Neodiprion lecontei: one gene and its partners. The protein of the gene in region 1 purifies or fractionates together with the protein of each later gene. This does not show direct contact. Links are inferred from orthologs where the notes say so. Each region holds a gene or a part of one and is shown in the gene's direction. Other genes may lie near its edges. The genes, in order: transcriptional adapter 2B, transcription initiation protein SPT3 homolog, transformation/transcription domain-associated protein and SAGA-associated factor 29.

What was found.
Region 2: the proteins of transcriptional adapter 2B (region 1) and transcription initiation protein SPT3 homolog purify together in Drosophila melanogaster (affinity purification with mass spectrometry; 7 studies listed by BioGRID, with this or other methods). This does not show direct contact. The link is inferred for Neodiprion lecontei from reciprocal best matches to the Drosophila melanogaster genes Ada2b and Spt3.
Region 3: the proteins of transcriptional adapter 2B (region 1) and transformation/transcription domain-associated protein purify together in Drosophila melanogaster (affinity purification with western blotting; 4 studies listed by BioGRID, with this or other methods). This does not show direct contact. The link is inferred for Neodiprion lecontei from reciprocal best matches to the Drosophila melanogaster genes Ada2b and Nipped-A.
Region 4: the proteins of transcriptional adapter 2B (region 1) and SAGA-associated factor 29 purify together in Drosophila melanogaster (affinity purification with mass spectrometry; 4 studies listed by BioGRID, with this or other methods). This does not show direct contact. The link is inferred for Neodiprion lecontei from reciprocal best matches to the Drosophila melanogaster genes Ada2b and Sgf29.

What each region holds. Positions count from the first base shown.
Region 1 is NC_060263.1:6,647,357-6,651,942, reverse strand, and holds the start of transcriptional adapter 2B, read left to right. Parts: upstream 1-1,566; 5' UTR 1,567-1,818; coding exon 1,819-1,825; intron 1,826-1,923; coding exon 1,924-2,021; intron 2,022-2,067; exon of another isoform or gene 2,068-2,280; coding exon of another isoform or gene 2,281-2,310; intron 2,311-2,840; coding exon 2,841-2,900; intron 2,901-2,998; coding exon 2,999-3,140; intron 3,141-3,385; coding exon 3,386-3,603; intron 3,604-3,743; coding exon 3,744-3,973; intron 3,974-4,098; coding exon 4,099-4,330; intron 4,331-4,586. Other genes in the region: uncharacterized protein LOC107223641, read left to right, coding at 1-48. UniProt on the Drosophila melanogaster protein: Component of several Gcn5-containing histone acetyltransferase complexes that regulate nucleosome organization; involved in acetylation of histone H3, particularly on Lys-10 (H3K9ac) and Lys-15 (H3K14ac).
Region 2 is NC_060262.1:4,441,954-4,446,626, reverse strand, and holds transcription initiation protein SPT3 homolog, read left to right. Parts: upstream 1-1,818; 5' UTR 1,819-2,284; coding exon 2,285-2,333; intron 2,334-2,498; coding exon 2,499-2,717; intron 2,718-2,828; coding exon 2,829-3,149; intron 3,150-3,500; coding exon 3,501-3,688; intron 3,689-3,772; coding exon 3,773-3,910; 3' UTR 3,911-3,926; exon of another isoform or gene 3,927-4,098; 3' UTR 4,099-4,128; downstream 4,129-4,673. UniProt on the Drosophila melanogaster protein: Component of the transcription regulatory complex SAGA, a multiprotein complex that activates transcription by remodeling chromatin and mediating histone acetylation and deubiquitination. The SAGA complex predominantly acetylates histone H3.
Region 3 is NC_060263.1:16,848,880-16,853,832, forward strand, and holds the start of transformation/transcription domain-associated protein, read left to right. Parts: upstream 1-1,924; 5' UTR 1,925-2,187; intron 2,188-2,378; coding exon of another isoform or gene 2,379-2,568; intron 2,569-2,667; coding exon of another isoform or gene 2,668-2,826; intron 2,827-2,896; coding exon of another isoform or gene 2,897-3,266; intron 3,267-4,324; coding exon of another isoform or gene 4,325-4,530; intron 4,531-4,589; coding exon of another isoform or gene 4,590-4,736; intron 4,737-4,814; coding exon of another isoform or gene 4,815-4,953. Other genes in the region: NACHT and WD repeat domain-containing protein 2, read right to left, coding at 885-1,037, 2,379-2,568, 2,668-2,826, 2,897-3,266, 4,325-4,530, 4,590-4,736, 4,815-4,953. UniProt on the Drosophila melanogaster protein: Part of the Tip60 chromatin-remodeling complex which is involved in DNA repair. Upon induction of DNA double-strand breaks, this complex acetylates phosphorylated H2AV in nucleosomes and exchanges it with unmodified H2AV.
Region 4 is NC_060260.1:35,361,383-35,366,401, reverse strand, and holds SAGA-associated factor 29, read left to right. Parts: upstream 1-1,811; 5' UTR 1,812-1,959; coding exon 1,960-1,967; intron 1,968-2,241; coding exon 2,242-2,296; intron 2,297-2,396; coding exon 2,397-2,654; intron 2,655-3,001; coding exon 3,002-3,163; intron 3,164-3,230; coding exon 3,231-3,459; intron 3,460-3,547; coding exon 3,548-3,741; 3' UTR 3,742-4,510; downstream 4,511-5,019. Other genes in the region: skin secretory protein xP2-like, read right to left, coding at 254-830, 1,336-1,378, 1,495-1,598. UniProt on the Drosophila melanogaster protein: Component of both the SAGA and CHAT histone acetyltransferase complexes, which both predominantly acetylate histone H3.

The sequences.
Region 1 (4,586 bases):
GAAAATCAAAAGACGGAGCAGAATGAAAACAAAGTTTTGAATACTTGATACCATGATAATATATAACTAGTGAATACAGACTGTTTCCAGTGAATTGCAATGCGCCAAGAAAAATATGTAAATATGTTTCTGTGATACCAAAGTTTACAATTTGAACCATTGCTTATATTTCAACCTGAATACCAGTTGAGTAGCTCTGATGCTACTTTTCCGAATCAAAAATGGAATCAGCAAACTTTGAATGGTCTGTAAGTTTCATTTTTTCTCAGAATATTTTTCACCGTCGTTTACACCAAATTATCAAATATGTTATAAAAGTTGAAACAAACGAAGTTCTTTTATTCAAATACTTTCAAAGTGCCTTAAAAATGAGCTCCTAAATTCTTTAGTAAGTAAGCTGAATAATCGTACATACGGTATATATCGTGGAAAATGTATATAAGAAATGAAATGTTGTGTATCATTGTGTTACAAAAAGTAAAGACATTTAACTTTAAACGTGTATTCATTCTCAAAGATAACTGTATCTATTTCTTTTAAAAACTGTTGTTAACATGTTAATAACATCAATAAATATTAGTGATAAACTGCTTTTACACAATTCAAATTGCAAACGACGATTAACAAAATTCAATCCACGGCTTTCTTCGTTGCACAACAATAAATAAACCAAAAGCCTTGAGCAAGGCCTATAATAACACCACCTACAGTAACATGGTACAATATTTTATCTAAAACACCACCTTTCAAATGTATCGGATATCCGTCGTCACACTGAAAATATTAAGAAAGGCAGTTAACAACCAATGAATTGCTTTTAATTTTCCCAAAAGTTACAAGTCTTATCCTGCTACAAAAACAATTCAAGATCAAATGGTTAAAGTGATGGTAACAGTCAAATTATTGTAACTAATGAGAGGAGGCTAACATCGAACCTGCATTTTTGCCTGCTTTTCCTTAAACGCTTTAAACTTGGGGGTATCTTCGAATCTTCGTGGGCCCGAACAGGAGCTGGACTTTCGCAGCAAGTCCAAGCGTCCTAATGATGTGCTCGGATACGACTTGGGGTAGATTTTGACAAGCGAAACAAATCGCAAAAACGAAATCTCGGAAGTTTTACTCGTACAACTTGTGACTATTGACATTTCGATGAATATTATACTGGATTATACTTTAAATTAGAAAATAGTTAATAAAAAAACAGGGACGTTTTATGTCGCGCTGCGCTTTTGAGCAACAACTGAAGTACGAAATTTCTTTTGTCGCGAAATCAACGCAACGTGATTAGTACGAATGTATAAACTTTTTTGAAAACTTGGAACTAATAAGAATACTCACTCTTAATCGAAGTAAACGTTGAACCTTTTCTCTCGCGTGTTCGTAGGGTGATAATTATGACATTTTCCGAGAAGCGTCGGGGCGAAAACGGACGTTTGAATCGTGCGAATATAGGATTGGTCAGGTTGGCAATTGTGGAATAAATTGTTGCTGGCAGCTAGGCGTTTTGTACCATACATACATAGTACGTTCCTGAGCGATGCAACGAGGGGCGTTAGCGTAGCGCATGCGCATTTCCGAAACGACGCTACACTCGTAAACATTTTTTTTCAATCAGGTAGTATATTTCGGGTGGTTTTTGTTCGAAAAATAAATACGGATGAGCGAAGTGTCTTTCAACTATACATCGTGTACTCGATTTGATATTGTTTTAAAAAATGAGCGTGATTCGCTGTAATAGTTTATGGTTATTTTCGGTTGACCTTAGGATGTGGTGACGTCACTAGCGATCGTTCTGGAAATAAACGCCATAGAACAATAATGGCGGGTACGTAGGTCCCTTCGTTGTAAGGATTGCATTTTCGATCGATTCCAACCGAACTGAGTCGAGCTCGGTTCGTATTAATGACTAAATATTGTTCTCAGATCTCTACGCTAAGTACAATTGCACATATTGCCAGGAGGACATCGCTGGGTTGCGTGTTAAATGCGTGGAATGTGCCGACTTTGATCTGTGCTTACAGGTAAGTCGTAAGTGGCCCAGGGGCGAAACGAATGGGGATTGGGGGGCCCTCAGCCCTGATGCTCGGGAGTCGAGTCATGTGACCTCGCGACCGACTGCCCACCTCCCCTTCAAACTTTTCGCCAGATTTTGCCTCCTGCTAACGGCAAATATTTTTATTTCTCTCTCCCTCTTTCCCCACCCTTGACTCAGGCCTTGAAAGACGACGCGCTTCGATAATTTCGCTCGTCACCGTTGTATTTGCGACATCGCAACAAGCGATGAGCGGGAAATTCGCAACGCCGCTACATGTGTGTAATTAATTTACGCTTCGTTACGGATCCACGATTTCTCAAGATATTTAGTTTGGATAGCAAATCTTCTTACCTTGACAACTTCCTTATTCTCTTTGCAAAATAACACATTTTACTAGGATAATTTACTCAATCGGAAATATCGTTACTGTTGAGAAACAAAAATCGGTGAACTATGGTTTTTCTTAATATGTAATCCGATATTCATCTAGAATGAAAATTATTTTCAGTTTAATCATAAATGCTTGCTGTAATGTTGTGCTCGCCAATGCGTTAAATCTCTGGATATGTGATTCTCACCGCATCTTTTCAGCCTGATTATCTTTTGCAAAGCAATTATGTTGTACAGAACTTACGTGCACAACAGTTTTGCCTTTTTCATTTGTTCCTAAATCTTTGTATACAGTCTACGTGGTAACTTATCCTGCAGATTTGTTGTTATCTTCTTGTAGATGAAAAATTTTGCTTTACTTCAATTAAAATTCAGCATACACACTGTCACACAATGAAAGTGATTTCATTTACAGTGTTTTTCTGCTGGTGCTGAAATAGGACAGCACAAAAATGACCATTCTTATCAATTTATGGTAAGCATTTCTTTGAGCTCAACAAATTTTTACATGCATATTTTATCATGGTGTTTTGTAATAATGTCTCGTTATATTTAATTCTGTTTATTTTTCAGGATTCTGGTACAATTAGCATATTTAGCGGGAGAGGAAGTTGGACAGCGAGAGAACAACTCAGACTTCTCGATGCGATTGAACAGTTTGGTTTTGGAAATTGGGAGGATATAAGTAAACATATTGAAACAAGAACACCTGATGGTAAAAGAGCGTTATTTTTGTAGCTGAATTTATTTCTTAGATTCAGGTTTCTTTTCTTGCAAAATTCATTACTTTTACCTACAACGTATACCAAGCCCCCCCTGTTTAAAATATGATAATTAATATCAGCTCAGCGATTGCTGCGGAACTTTGAACTGAGTGAAAATATCCTGCAAACACTTTTAAATCATTGCTACATAACATACTACTTATTCATGCGATTGTTTTTTTTTTTCTTTATGCAGAGGCTAAAGAGGAATACATCGCCAGATATCTTGATGGAAATATCGGTAAACAGACATGGCCTTCGACTGAAAGTTATAGACCAAACCTGACGGACCAAACTAGCTCTGATTATGGGCCACTATCGCCAGACTTGACCTCGCGACTGCCACCGTTAGATATCACCCCAGAAGAAGCAGCTCAGCTCGGCTATATGCCACAGCGGGATGATTTTGAAAGGGTGTGTTATTTACAGCGAGTATCTCAATTTCTAGCAACGCGCTACAAATCTTCCATATATCGTATGTTCAGCATATGGAAAAAAAATTTCGTTCATCTTCAACAGCTTCGTTACATGAATAACTTCTTTCTTTTCTACAGGATTATAAACACGAGGCAGAGTCTTTGGTTTCTTCGTTGTTTCTCACTCCTGCCGAAGACGATGACCTTGACATTGCGCTAAAGCTAGCCCAAGTTGACATGTACACAAATAACTTACGTGAACGAGCAAGAAGAAAACGTGTCGTTAGAGATTATCAACTTGTCTCTTCGTTCTTTGCTTCGACAAGAAAAGATAGAGCGATCAAGAAAAAACAGAGCAAAGAAGACAGGTAACAAACGAATTAACCCACAATTTATGATCACTCAGGTAATTGTTATATTTGCTGTTAAATTAAATGTCCTTGAATTTATGCTTGTCTTTCATTTCCATTGTTGCTCATTATTTGACATACAGAGAATTTCGGGATAGAATGCGAACGTTTGCCCAATTCTACACAGCGCAGGAGCACGAACAATTCTTGACTAATTTGGAAAGGGAACGAGAGCTCCGACTACGGCTAACCGAGCTTAGTCGTTACAGAGAGAACGGTATCACCAGGCATGAAGAATGTGCCCATTTCGAACAAGTCATGGCACAGACTCAAGGTCAAACAGAAACGACGGATCATTGGACTGAAAAGAAATCTGTAAGTTCTCGTTTGGATTTTTATTTCTTGTTACTCTCTTTTCGGTATTGTAAAAATTGTAGAACTTGTAATATTACATGTTTGTAACTGTATACTAAACTCAGTGTGTGGAAGTTTATCATTGAATAACATTAGTCACATCATTTCTCAGTCACTGGCCGATCCTTGAAAGTCGAACAGAGTAAATACTTCTGTCGCTATTTATTTTCCTCTTCAAAGATACAGAATCAAACCAGATTGACAGAAGGTGCTTACA
Region 2 (4,673 bases), on another chromosome or scaffold:
CAAAACGTTGTTAAAATCAGGCTGCTTTCCGACTTCTAATTTTGACAATATGCCATTTTATCATTTTTTATTTTTTTTTCTTCATTTTAGTTCCTGCGATAGATATACTCATAATAATTAAGGGTCATTTTTAATTTTTTTTATTTCAGATAAGTGAAGCACCAAATCCATTAACAGCAGCAAGGTCAACTTTTTTCGAAGGGACGACTTCAGCACCATTTTTATATAATAATAAAAAAAAAAAAAAAATTGGTTGTCTGTAAAGTCGGTTTACGGACGATAGTTTGACGTGATAACGTCATAAAGAAACATTGATGAAAAATACGATTCAAATTGCTAGCTATGACGTCACGCGAGGCCTCGCTAGCTCAGCGACAAGTCCAAAAGTTATGATGACGCCATCTAGTATCACTGAATTTTTGCAACGTAAAATATCAGTAAATAGAGCTTAACCAACAACGGAGCTGCAATTAACCTATTTGAGCTGCTGTTTTGTTGTGGGTGAAATAAATTCCAGTGGTATCTAAGTGCCGTGAATCGTTAAACAAGCGAAATGCTATCGCAGGCGTTTCAGCCGTAGCCATGTTGACGTTGAGAGTGTGTGAATACGTGTATCAGCTGACGACGGAATATTTTATAATAATTTTGTTCGTTACTTTCGATTTAACTGTAATCTTCCACTGCTATTTCACCCACAACAATTTTGAATAAGGAATCATATCGTCACAAAACATTTGAAAAGTATGCTCTCGTCTTTGAGAATTCACGTTGCGAAATCCACTCGTCCGCGTGCACATGTGGTAGTGTCAGAAAAATAAAAGACATCACGATGGTTCACTCATATCATCATTACAACCTTTATTAAATGCCATACTAATATATAAATAATCCGATAACATACATATAACTTTTATAAATCTTTTTGCTGCACTATCAGATAAATAAGTTGGATTTTTAAATTTTCAATTTTCAAATAGTCCATCAATAAAATCTTTGGGCTTTTGCCCTCCAAACAATTAATTTATATTACCAGCCGTAGTAGCGTAGCGTGTAACGTCAAAGACTACGGAACGGGAGGATCTGAGTTCAAATCCCCAGCCTCTTTCACGGTAGCTCGCCAAAATTGTAAGACGGGCCACGTCATTCAGGCGCCGAATTGGCGGGTTGAAGTTTGAACTCGGTCCGGCAGCCACACGGACCAAAGGTTTTCTGCAGTTTTCTTTGTGTCCCTTGCGCTAATGCGGATGTTTCAATTGAACATCACAAGCAGACGGCTGCAGCCGCATAATGGTGGCCATGGCACCGTTATTTTAACCAAATTTTAAAATAAATGTCATTTAAGGACTTGTCATTAATACGTTCCGTATGGATTTTTTAGGATCTTATTTAGTTTGTTACAGAAATGTCACAAGGGGTTACAAGGGGTTAAGGATTTTTTTAAAGGATAAAATTAAATATGCAAAATAAAATATTTTATACCATTCTGTTTAGAGAGATGGCAAAAAGATATGGATCATCGACATAGCATCCGCGAACTAGTGATTGAGGACAAGAGTAAATGAAACGAAATGATGTTGACATGGAGAGTGATAATGATTAACGATAAGCGAGGTTTTCATCGATCTTGATGCGGCGATACAGACAGTATCGCAAGAGAACGTTGCGCAGACTGACGGTTTACAGAGCGAGAGAATACATAGATTACACACATACATGATATTGAGACAGTAGACAATACATGAGATACAGCTGCTGTTTTGAGTCGCGAGACTGGCAAGCGGCGAGATTTGACGCAGAGACGGCAATTAGTAAACATTGCACGCGAGTGCGCGTCCATGCGTGAGGACGATTTTGAGTGTCGCGAGACACACATTTGACTAATTCGATACTTTGCCGAAACAACGACAATACCTTTAAACAGTCCCCACTCAAGGTTGAGCTGCACGGTTGCCCACTAGAGCAGGAAATATCAGAAATGAATTTAGCAAAAAGCGAAGGGTACAGCATAGCAAGTCTTGCAATTATGATGATAGATAGCATTATGTGCGGCTACTGGACACAGAATATGTAATGACTGCATGTAATGAGAACTGCCTGACACTAGGCGCCGTTATTATTTTAGATTTCGCTGTACTCCAGTAACATTTAGATTCTAGGGTTACTACCCTAGAACAGACTTGGAACAAGAGTGGTTGGAACACCTGCCGATGTGATGTCTGCTACTAGCAATTTGTGTTTGTAAAGAAACAACAAAACGTAAACAAACATTAAAATTACTTTAAAAATGACAAGTGTACCTGACGTTAAAAATGAACCAATCAACTACACAGCGGGTGAGTGAAATATATAAATTTATTATATACGTATACATAAATATAAAGAAGGTAGAATTCTGTTGGTTATGTTTGTGACATAAGAATATGAAATCCATACCGCAGGCTCGTTCATTATCTATTATCCAATTTTCTCCACATTGCTGATGCTTATTTTCTGGTTAGAAATCCGTCAAATGATGCATGGATTTGGCGACAGTTCAGCCCCGCTGTTAGAGTCAGCAAAAATAATCGAGGATGTCGTACTGCACCAAATGCGAGCAATTGTTTACAGGGCGTGCGAAGTTGCTGATAGGCGAGGGAATAGAATAATAACACCTGAAGATTTTATTTTTCTCATGCGCAAAGATAAGGTCAAGGTTCAACGGCTGTTGAAGTACCTAGGCAAGTGGTATTTTTCTTACATTGATGTCTTATTAATTTTGGTACGTTGTGAATCTATCTCTGTAAACTAAATACATCCCTTCAATTTGATCTGTTTTCTTTTTGTTTCAGAAGTAAAAGAGCTGCGAGCAATAATGCACAAGACGGTTCAACCAGAGAGTATGGGGAATTTTTTCGAGGCTGACGGTGGCGAAGTTTTGACAAAGCGAAAACGTCCTTATCATGATTTCATTCAATTGATCGACAATACAGGGGAATTACTCGAAAATAGAAGCACTTTTGATATCGTTAAACAGAACAGACTGATCAGGGCAGAGATGGTCACTAGAAAAATGGATGAAATTCAATATGTGGAATACTCAAAGGCACGGCACGCTTCCTTCACAAATAACAAACAGCGACACAAATTCAGCGACTGGGTATGCCCGGATGGTAAAGTGAATTCAACCATATTATGTGTATAGATCAGGTTGGTTTTTTTAAGTTTCTTTTTCTTATGTACCCTTTGAAAAGTTAGTTTTTCGCCTCAAACGAAGTCTCGTAAAACTGGAACTCTATAGCAAAATTCTAAAACGTTACTCATCCGGTTTGAATTTTTCAAACACTCGAACTAAACTTTTAGAATTTTGCTACCGAGCTTCGGTTTCACGAGGCTTAATTTGAGGCTCAAAACTAACTTTTCGAAGTTTATGTAAGAAGAAAAAAAAAAAACCATTCTAGTATATACTTATATTTTTTTTCTGTTCAGTATCTAATCATAAATCGAATCTTCAACGCTTACAGATGATGTGAAAATATCAAAACAAGGCTACCAAATTTTGAGCTATCTCGCTTACGAAACTGTCGCGCAAATTATAGACTTGGCGCTTGTGGTCCGACAAGATCAGAGTAAGATTCATGGAGACGCTATTGAAAGGCTGAAACTAAACCACTGTAATCCCTATACCTACAAGCCTTATCAGCATAATATGGTAAACGAGATTATGGATTTCTTCTCCTTTACCTGAGTCACAAATAATTGGCCGCGTTCCATTATATAATCTCTTTGATTACAGGGAGTCGTAATAAAGCCAATCAGTCCGTCGGAAATAAATGAGGCATTGAGGAGGTATTGGTCACCACAGCTGGATATTACAGGGCCATTTTACAGATCATCTCTGCGTCCGCTGCACCCAAAATTACTTGCTTGTTGAGACATAGGCTGCGGAGGTACGAGCTTGTATTAAAATAATTGCAGGGTTGATGTTGATAATAGCTTCAGTTTATTTATTGTTATCGAGCCACGGCCGTTTTATATTTCAATATATGACTGCGATTTTGTTCTATATTACTCATTAAACTCAATAATCATGATATCAAGTGTATATTTCTAAAATTACAGAGCATCGTACGTACTACATTATAATTTGAGGAAAAACGCTAGATTTGGAATAAAAATACAAAGAAAAGTAATGACTACTTTTGGAAGTTTCTTGTTACGTATTTTACAAAATTCACGATTTACATGCTTACAATATTCTTTTTCTTTTTATTTTTCAGTCGTGTAATAAAATTTATCTACAATTATGCAAAGATCATTATCAGCATCACAGTATATGTCATGATTTACAATATAGGTATATTCAACGTGTATTTGTGTATCCTCCTCCTTTGATTATTGACCACAAATCTATTATATTAGAACTATACAATTTTGTCAATTATGTTTGGACGAATTATCATTATTATTAAACATATCGATAACATTTTAAAACATTCAACCGCTTACAAACTGCCCTAATTTTATAAATTACGGCTTGTCGAGGTTTTTAAAGTATTTCTTTTAAATTGTTTCAATACTGTTTCAGTAACAATTTATTATTGCCTAAGAAATAACACCTGAGAACTATTTTCTCTTTAAAAAACTTGTCTACTTGAAAATGGTCGTCCAATCGAAATCCATAATAGCTTCTTTTG
Region 3 (4,953 bases), about 10 Mb from region 1:
TTTCACCACAGGGTGAATGTCTTGTGGAAGTAAAATGCGATCGATCAAGAGTCTCTCCTGAAATCTTAATGCAAATATACATATAAGAAAATCTGGAACTGAAGTTTTTGTTATTTTTTTTTGTTGGATAATATATATATAGATATACATATATATTTATTTGTAAAACATTATTAAAGAGAAAGAGAGCATATAGTGTGTTGTCACGTAAAATTTAAATTAATTATAAATAGTATCTTTGTATTGCAGAACGGTTGTTTTGTTGTGAATATTTTTTTTCCGCTACATTTTGTTTCTTCAAATGCATTGATCTGAACCCACATCATCGATTCAATTACGCAGCTACACCGAGTTATATCCTGCGACATTGTCATCAGCCGTTGTCGCCGTCTTTGTCATCCTTATTAAAATGCAAGGTTATTACATGTACCAAGGCGAATGGCAAAATATTTACGAAGTGTAAACATTTGAAATATTGAAGTTTGAAGGAAGCGTGAAAAAGTGAGAGAAAGTGAAAGAGAGAATTAGAATAAATAAATGAAAAAATAAACAAATAATTATACAAATTCGATATTCGCTAAAAGACAGAAATAAATATTACTATAAATTCCGTATTTCATGTCTTAAAATTACAATTGCATTTTCGTTTCTTTCCCTTAGCATATTGTATATAATTTATGAATGTCTATAAATTCATCTCAATATATCAACGATTATAATAATTTATCAGTTTGCCAATAATATGTATATTATCTATGCTCAACTCTTAGCTTGAAAATTATGCACCAGGCATAACACGCCAATATAAGTTTTGCTACAAGCCAGGTATTCTCATTGCCGATAACTAGATGGAACGAGTACGAATCATATAATTGTAAGGCAGCCTACTGATCCGCCTCTTCATCAGTTGCATCGTTTTCCTCGACAAATGCATTGTTCTTCCTCACAACGTGCACTAGATCGTGCGTTACCCTCGCTATTCTAGCCGCCGCCTTGAATTTTGTCGCTGCTCGCTGCTTCTCCATCTTCTTTTTCCACTGAAAGTAAAAATTACATAATTAATAATATACAGGTTGGCTGTACACATGATTTGAATTTAATTTCGTTTCGCGGTTTTGAAGACGCGCAACTCGAAATGAGATATATGTATATGTATATATATATATATATATATATACGCATATTATACTCTTTGGCGGAACGAAGTTACCGACCGTACGGTCAGGACCGTATTTGTACGGTAATTTCGCCTCCTATACGGACACGCTAAATGTACAGTCATGGAAAAATTTTAGGAATTTAGGTCATTTTTTGGCTAGCCTCTGATATTGTAAAAGAATCAAGTACAGAAGTATAAACGGTCTCAGTAATTCACATTCCTGGTTATATTAGTTCAATTATTCTCCAAGACTCCAGCAACTGCTTCGTGTAATTGAAAAATTCACAACCTTTAGCGTTAGTGTGAAATATTTTTGAACGTAAAACTAACAATAATGTGGTTGAAACTTATCTGGTCCTTGAGAAAAGAAGCAACATTGTGGCAATTGTACGACCATAAAATATAAAGAACAAAAATGTACTCCGCGAAATCTTTGTACGGTCCTGAAATTTCAAAGTACGATTCATTTTCACATCGAGTACGACTTGTCGCCACCAGAGGGTTGCCAACACTGGGCCGGGAGCATAGACTTATAAAGATAGACTTAGCGCGCTTATGAGCCGCTTGAAGGCGGTAGAGGAGAATGAGGCGAAATTATACCCCTATATCTATAGCTGTTCCACTTCCACTGCTCCGTTGTCTTCCACCACGACGCCGATTGAAAAGCGAGAGCAGTACTCCCGGTATATCTCTGTCCTTTATATGTAATTGTCAGTGCCTCTTATAGGAACGCTCAGTCTATCGTTATAAGTCTATGGCCGGGAGGCGAACGAAGCAGATGGAAGATGCGAGTGCAAGTTATGTCGCACAATTTCGCGGCGTTCGGAGCCTGTACGGTATATTTGCGTTTTTATGTTCAATAAACAAACAAACATAGTGCGGAAAAGTAGACAATTGTGTTGTGCGATGTGAATTCGCTTGTGAAGGTGTGAACGAAATGTTTCGGAAGTACGAGAGACTTTCAACTATGTGAAAGGAGTTACCGAGATCGAGGTTAGGGTCTGCCGTGCGTCATCATACCGAAGAAGGTTAGTAACTATGTTATGTCGCTTCATTTCACCCACGATTCAATCCGAATTTTCACCCCTGCTCAATCTCCGATCTCGCGACGAATATTATAACACCTTTTTGTATATTCTAACTTCATCTCGCAATTTTTTTCTCCGTCGCGTTCATAACCTCTAATAAACATGCGCTTTTCTTTATCATCTCGTTTCACCTGCTCGTCTCGCGACGGTAAGTTCAACAAGTAATCCTTCATTTCTGGTTTCTGCGGGTCTGCGATTGCCAGCACCGATACACATCCATCAACGGTCCCCAGTACTATGCTTTTTCCATCGTACGTGCTGTCGATTGCGCTCAATTCTGCTTGGACTCTGTAGTTGGCTATCATCTCGCAGTCTGAAGATCTGTGGGAATAAAAATGGAATTAAAGCATTATTTATTGTTGAAGTAAATCATCTTGTTATGTATTTGTCAGAACTATTACTTTTGAATGGTTTCTTTACCTGAATACTCTAATTGTTTTGCGACCACTGTGATAGTAGAGTACGTAGTCATCCGTTCTGTTGAACATTGAAATGACGGTGAAAACACCCTCAGCAACTTTTGGTATGTAGGTCTTGACGGTAGTTCCTTTCTTCAGTTCGATGAGATCGAGACCACCCCTGTTTAAAATAAAAATTACATAAACTGCCACGAGATAAGGAATTGGTAATTGAACTACAAATTTTTTACCTGCTGGGAGCATATAAAGTGTGTTTGCCATCCTTGCTGATATTCCCGCTCCACTTGGGCACCGATCTGATGATTTTCTTCTTGTTTATGTCCATGATGCTTCCTTTATCCGAGCCGATTATACCAACCCAATGCGCACGGTGTGGCATTGGTACTATGCTTGTTATGTCTTTGAGTCCCGGTATTTTAACCGGTATTCTATTGACCAGGACCCCTGTTTTTGCGTTGTAAACAATCACACAGTCTCGGTTACCTTTGTCAGCTGCCGGTACGACTAGGTTCGCACCATCCGAGGTCAGAACAGCTTGTCTGAACGGTACTCCTGTTTGACTTTTCACTGGATATTCCAACGAGAACATTGTTCTTCCATCTATTGAGTAGAGTTAAAATTAGTTTCAATTTGGTTCCTTATACACTGGATGTAGTAGACTTTACACGCTGATCTTTGTGAACCTAGCACCCGACTTGAAAAAACCTAACTATTTTTTTGTTGATTCTTGTAGGTTTTTGTAGGTAGTTGTTTGTAGTAAGAATGATTTCGTTTGTAGTAGCGCCAAAAAAAAATATAAGGGGTTGAAAAAATGTCTGCACCCCATTTTGAAAAAAATCGAATTTGTCGGTAGTTTTCCGTACAGAATCGTTTGTAGTTGATTGTAGTGAAGATATTTTACTTTGTAGTAAAAAGGAAAGAAAAATACATTTTTTTTTTTTTTTTTTTATTTATAGCTAGAATTTCTGTGGCCCTGCTGTCAACTAATGTTTCGGAATCTTTTGCAGTTGTTTGTAGTACAATTTTTTTCGTTTAAAATTCCTCCAAAATTTACTACAAACGTCCTACTCGCTTCGGAAACGTTTGTAGTTGTTTGTAGTACTGATTTTTTCGTTTGTAGTTCCTTGGAAATTTACTACAAACATCCTACTCGCTTCAGAATCGTTTGTAGTCGTTTGTAGTACCGATTTTTTCGTTCGTAGTTCCTTGGGAATTTACTACAAACGTCCTACTCGCTTCAATATCGTTTGTAGTTGTTTGTAGTACCATTTTTTTTGAGGAATTTTAAACGAAAAAAATTGTACTACAAACAAATACAAAAGATTCCGAAACATTAGTTGACAGCAGGGCCACAGAAATTCTAGCTAAAAAAAAACAAACTATTTTTCTTTCCTTTTTACTACAAACGAAAATATCTTCACTACAATCAACTACAAACGATTCTGTACGGAAAACTATCGATAAATTCGATTTTTTTCAAAATGGGGTGCTGACATTTTTTCAACCCCTTATATTTTTTTTTTTTTGCGCTACTACAACCGAAATCATTGTTACTACAAACAACTACCTACAAAAACCTACAAGAATCAACAAAAAATAGTTAGGTTTTTTCAAGTCGGGTGCTAGGTTCACATAGGTTACACGCTGTTTTCGATTACCTGGAATATTTCTGACGACAAGAGTAGCCGTTGTTCTAACGCTTTCAACGCCCGGAGGATTGCTCGGTCTTGATACAGCCAGGAATTTGCTGGTCTCAGGAATCAGCGTAAGCTGGCGTACGCCTGGCTGCTCTTCCTTAAATAAGACTTGTTCTGTTATTCTGTTCCATATCAAAACGTTTCCAGACTCGGTGGAGATGATATACCTGAAAATTTTTCCAAGGTATTATCACATCTTTGACAGTGGTATATATAGTCTACCCACTTTCCATTGTGTGTGATGCAGGCATGAGTCACTATCGCTCCCAGTGGGCTGTCAGCCAATTTGGAAATCAGACGTCCTGATTGGAGATTCCAAATCCCAACGCAGCCTCTGGTGACTGTAGCAGCCAAGTTGCAGTGCTCCGCAAGGCTGTTGGTGTATTAAAATGATGTTACATAGGTTTAAGTGAATATTTAGGGTCAGAGGGATGTTGAAGATTATTGTCACCTGATCGAGTCTATCTGTAGCTCGTGTCTGTCGATAACGTGAACCTGTTCGAATATATTGTTGATATTCCAAACCTTCACGCTTCTGTCTATACTCGATGTTATAACGCTGTTCCAATTACCAATTGTCAATGGTTCGA
Region 4 (5,019 bases), on another chromosome or scaffold:
CAGATTTGAAACACTACGCACAGCAATGTTAGCTCCAATTGAACGACGTTATTGTTATGTATTTCTATGTATACAATGCCAACCACTCATTAATTGCAATTTGTTGATCCTGGTTGTTCGGTTTTTTTACCGATTCAAAATGTTATCTGAAGCATGTATTTTGGGTTGATAGCACAAAATATGACGTTTTCAATAATCAAACTTGTAAACTTGAATATTAGTTCGGAATGTCAAAAGTCATCAGGTCACGGACCTGGAGAGCCAGAACTACGGCATTCTAGTCCTGGAAGTCGAGTTTCAACACGTGGCGGACCTGGAGCGCAGAAACTACGGAGCGCTGATCTCGGAAGTTGAATTTCACTAGGTAGTGGGCCTGAAGCGCAGGAACTACGGAGTGCTGATCTCGGAAGTTGAATTTCACTAGGTAGCGGACCTGGAGCGCAGAAACTACGGAGCGCTGGTCCCGGAAGTCGAGTTTCAACACGTAGCGGACCTGGAGCCCAGAAACTACGCAGCACTTGACCTGGAAGTCGAGTTTCACCAGGTAGCGGGCCTGGAGCGCAGAAACTACGGAGCGCTGATCTCGGAAGTTGAATTTCACTAGGTAGTGGGCCTGAAGCGCAGGAACTACGGAGTGCTGATCTCGGAAGTTGAATTTCACTAGGTAGCGGACCTGGAGCGCAGAAACTACGGAGCGCTGGTCCCGGAAGTCGAGTTTCAACACGTAGCGGACCTGGAGCCCAGAAACTACGCAGCACTTGACCTGGAAGTCGAGTTTCACCAGGTAGCGGACCCGGAGTGCAGGAACCACGGAAGTAGAGTACCCGGTACTCGAAATTTGCGGAGCGCGACTCTCATGCGTCCGCTCTACTGCGCGGTTATTTCCAGACTGAGGAATTCGGCCAGCTGATTTTCGGCTATATAGATCGATGACGTCGAGAGAAAAAAAATTTTGAGTGACGTCACTTTCTGAACATCCGAAGATCCGAACATCCAAACTTTGGTTTTAAACTTTAATACTATGTATGATGTATGATGTATGATGATATGATGTATGATGTATAATGATTTTAGTTTTCACATGTCAGAAAGAAATACGCACTTTATCTTTCCTGCCGATTCAAGACTCAAGCGGCTGAGCCCTTCGATGGTCTGCCGTTGACTAAATATATATTTTCCAGTTAACGTCAGCTAATAATGCTGCCGTTCTGAGACAGTTGGATGATAAAAATTTTTACTGAAAACTAGTTACAAAAATTTACCCAGAGGTATCCGTCTTTATTTTCTTCAGTTAATGGTTCCAAGAAGAACTGAATTAAAATCTAATCACATTACCGCTCGGTGAAGAGGATTAGTTGCTAAATTCTCGTTTCCATACCTATGAGGCCATAAGAATTCTTATAATAAACTGCACTAAATTGTCGTCATTCGAATAAACTGCATAAAATAAACGTAAAACTCGTCCGCGAAGATCATTTTCAATTTTGAATTTACCTCCAAACTGCTTTCTGTATGACCGGCTGACAATTAGGTAGTCGTGATGATAAATTTTGTTCGGTAATTTTAACATACGCCTCAGCCGGCAATGCTGCTTTCATCATTCAGTTTGGTTTTCATTTACCAATCGTCTCACAATTCATAATATTCACGCGCCACAACAGCGCTGAGTTAAAGTTGTGAATATCTCTTCATGGATATATAATTATTAGTGTACTGGAATTATAGCATAATTTTCAAGTTATGACTCAGTCGGAGAGAAATAATATTTTCATAAAGATCTGCGCCAAGTAACTTCAGCTCATGTACGTGTGTTTATAGTATAGAAGATATGCTATTCCTAATCTATGCAATTATTCATTTACGTCGATCATGATTCAGGCGAAGCAGTCACTGATTGCTCCAAACAAACTGACACATAGCTACATGTGACGTGATAAAAATCACTTCCAGTTGCTCTTAATGCTAAGGTTGACTTTAACTATTCTAACCTCTAAATATAGTTTGTCATATTTATGTAAACAAAACAAAGAGTACATAGCGACTTCACAGCATTGAATAGCTTTTGGTTCAAGCAAGAAGAAAAACTCCACCAGACCTACCGTTTCATACAGAATCCTTGTTTTTTCAGTTTCAAAGTGTTTTGTTTTCACTTTCTTAAACCATCTACATCTAGGTTATCTATCTAGGTTATTTTAAAATCAAAAGGTAATTTAACACTGAACTTCTCAAATACCATTTCAGGAGCTCTCCTTCGAAGATGCCGTTCACAGCTGATGCAGCGGCACATCAAATACAGGTACCAGCAGCATATTCAAAAATCAAACTCATCATCAAAATAATTTCAAATCAGTTTTGTCAAATGTTTCATATCATATGAATAACAATGGATGTTGCAGGAACGGCTCAAGAACATATACAATTTAATATTTGAGATAGAAGAAGAACGCAATCGATCTGAACATAATTTAAATAATATCACCAAGGCTCATGACAAAATAACACCAGATGATAAAGTCTCTCCTTACTATCAACAGAAATTAAAAAGTTTATATAGCGCTGCTGTCTCTGATGCTCAACAAGAAGAGGAGCTGATACGAAAAGCGCTGGCAAAAATTAACGAAATTAGGGCAATTCGAAATGAGCGTAGAATTCAAGTATGTCAATGTGAAAGGAACGGATTATTAAATTCAGAAAACCAGGGATTGTCCAAAAATCCAAGGGGAAATATAAAATTCAGATAGAATATTGCCATAATCATAGATAAAGTCCTTCCAATTATGTGTAACAATTTTGCATTCTTTTGAACAACTGAGGCACCAAATTATTCAGATTCTAATTCACCATAATGTCATTGCAGACAAAAATATACTCTCTAGATACTTTGTACATACCTATGTGAAACACTTGGAAAACAGCTGCTTGCTAGCGATATATTATTCATGCAGTTTACCAATTTTTCAATTGCTGGAAAAGTATGACTAAAACCTTTGTTCTTATACAGGCGCGTAACGCAGGAAACAAGGAAACGATACGACGAGGTGCATTGATGAAAATGTTGTTGAGCTCTGCACAAACTCTACCACTATATGTGGGTAAGTCACCTGGAGCAAAACCACCGCCACTATGTGGCGCAATTCCAGCTGAAGTTACGTACATAGCAAAGGTACGAAGGTAATAGTTTGTAAAATATTTCAATTTACGCCATATGAGATATTGATGATATTTTTGAGATGGGAGATATGGTTGCCGCGCTGGTAAAAGGATCCGAAGAGGAGGAGAATTGGATTCTTGCTGAAGTCGTTCAATTTAATCCAACGACGAGTAAATATGAAGTTGATGACATAGATGAGGAACAAAAAGATAGGCATGTTCTTTCAAAGCGTCGTGTTGTCCCTTTGCCTCTGATGCGAGCAAACCCGGAGACCGACGCCCATGCATTATTTCCCAAAGGATCTATAGGTATGATTATATGCTTGTGGTATAACTCACTACGGTTATAACAGTTGTATTCCCAGCTCTATAATGCAGTATCATTTTGCTTTTAAAGTTATGGCGCTCTATCCCCAAACGACATGCTTCTACAAGGCTGTTGTTAATCAGCTACCGACTACCGCAACTGAAGAGTACGAAGTACTATTCGAAGATGCAACATATGCGGACGGATACTCCCCACCTTTAAATGTTGCGCAACGTTACGTGATATCCATAAAGGAGAGTAAGAAAAATAAAAGTCAGTCTTGAAGAGAAGCAGAGTTATTATTTATAATCCGTAACGAATCGTAATGACACCGGAAATTTCTAAGCAATAATGCAGATATACGTCTAATTGAGATGCTGTACAATTCAAATCATGCAATCATCTCACTGCCATCAAATTTTTTTTTCGTTACAAGAAGAAATTACGTAGCTAAATGAACAAAAATTGATGCTTTAGTTATTAGATATTTGTAATATCATCAAACTGTATATAATCAATAAACAGGAGAAATTTTATGTGCCAGGATGTATATGCATTTTATACAGATTGCGCACATATACATTCTTTGCTTTTCATTCCAAAATACTATCAAAGTTATTATTTCAGTTACTCAAAATTACGCATAAGGATTCTTTATTTGTCCATTCAATCATTTTACATTTATTTTTTAACATATTTTTTCCTCTTATCTATTTTCTTTTCTTATTTTTCTTTCCTAGTGAGAAATAAAAATTGTTCATGAATACGTGTTATGTCGCTGAATCGAAGGTGATGCTGCACCGCACCTGCAAAATACTTAGCGACATGGGAGTAATGTGGGTTTAATTAGACTTTCGGTCTCTAATACGAACACCAGAACTTTTTAGTGCTCAAAACGCACTTGGAAGTACATTATGTATAAATATCGGTAATAGCGATCAATCCTCATCTTACAAAGTAGTATTCAACGCTTTTTTTTAAACTTTAAATCAAATTAAAAATCTATCCTTAAAACGTTCCTACTTAATCAAAGTTGCAATGACATGAAACTGTGTTGCTTTTGAAAAACTATATGTTCAACTAAAAAGAACTTTAAAGCAACTTCTTTCGCCAAATGCATACAAAACTGGTCAATGAACTGATTAACTCGTTATTAGTTATAAACTATGAGATATAATTCTATTCATTCAGATTGTAGTTCAATGAATTTGTTTTTCATTTTTATTTTATCTGCTTGTTTCATTTAGGCTTCAGTGCGTGAATTACCATATGGATATCTTGTTTTTTTTTTTTTTTTTTTTTTTTTCAAAAAAACTTATGATTCCCAGCACACTCTCATTTTTAGGTATAATATATGAAAAAGGTGTCACCGACGTGGGCGTTCACTGTATACATAAAACAATACCTGAATAATTATGTGCCTGACAATTATTTAATATTTGGAATTATGATGAAGTTAATGACAGATATTTTATTTCATGAGTGACATGAGTTCGTATTTTATATTTTTACAAATCGCTGTAAGACAAATGATCTGGACCAATAGATAGTACTTGTACGTT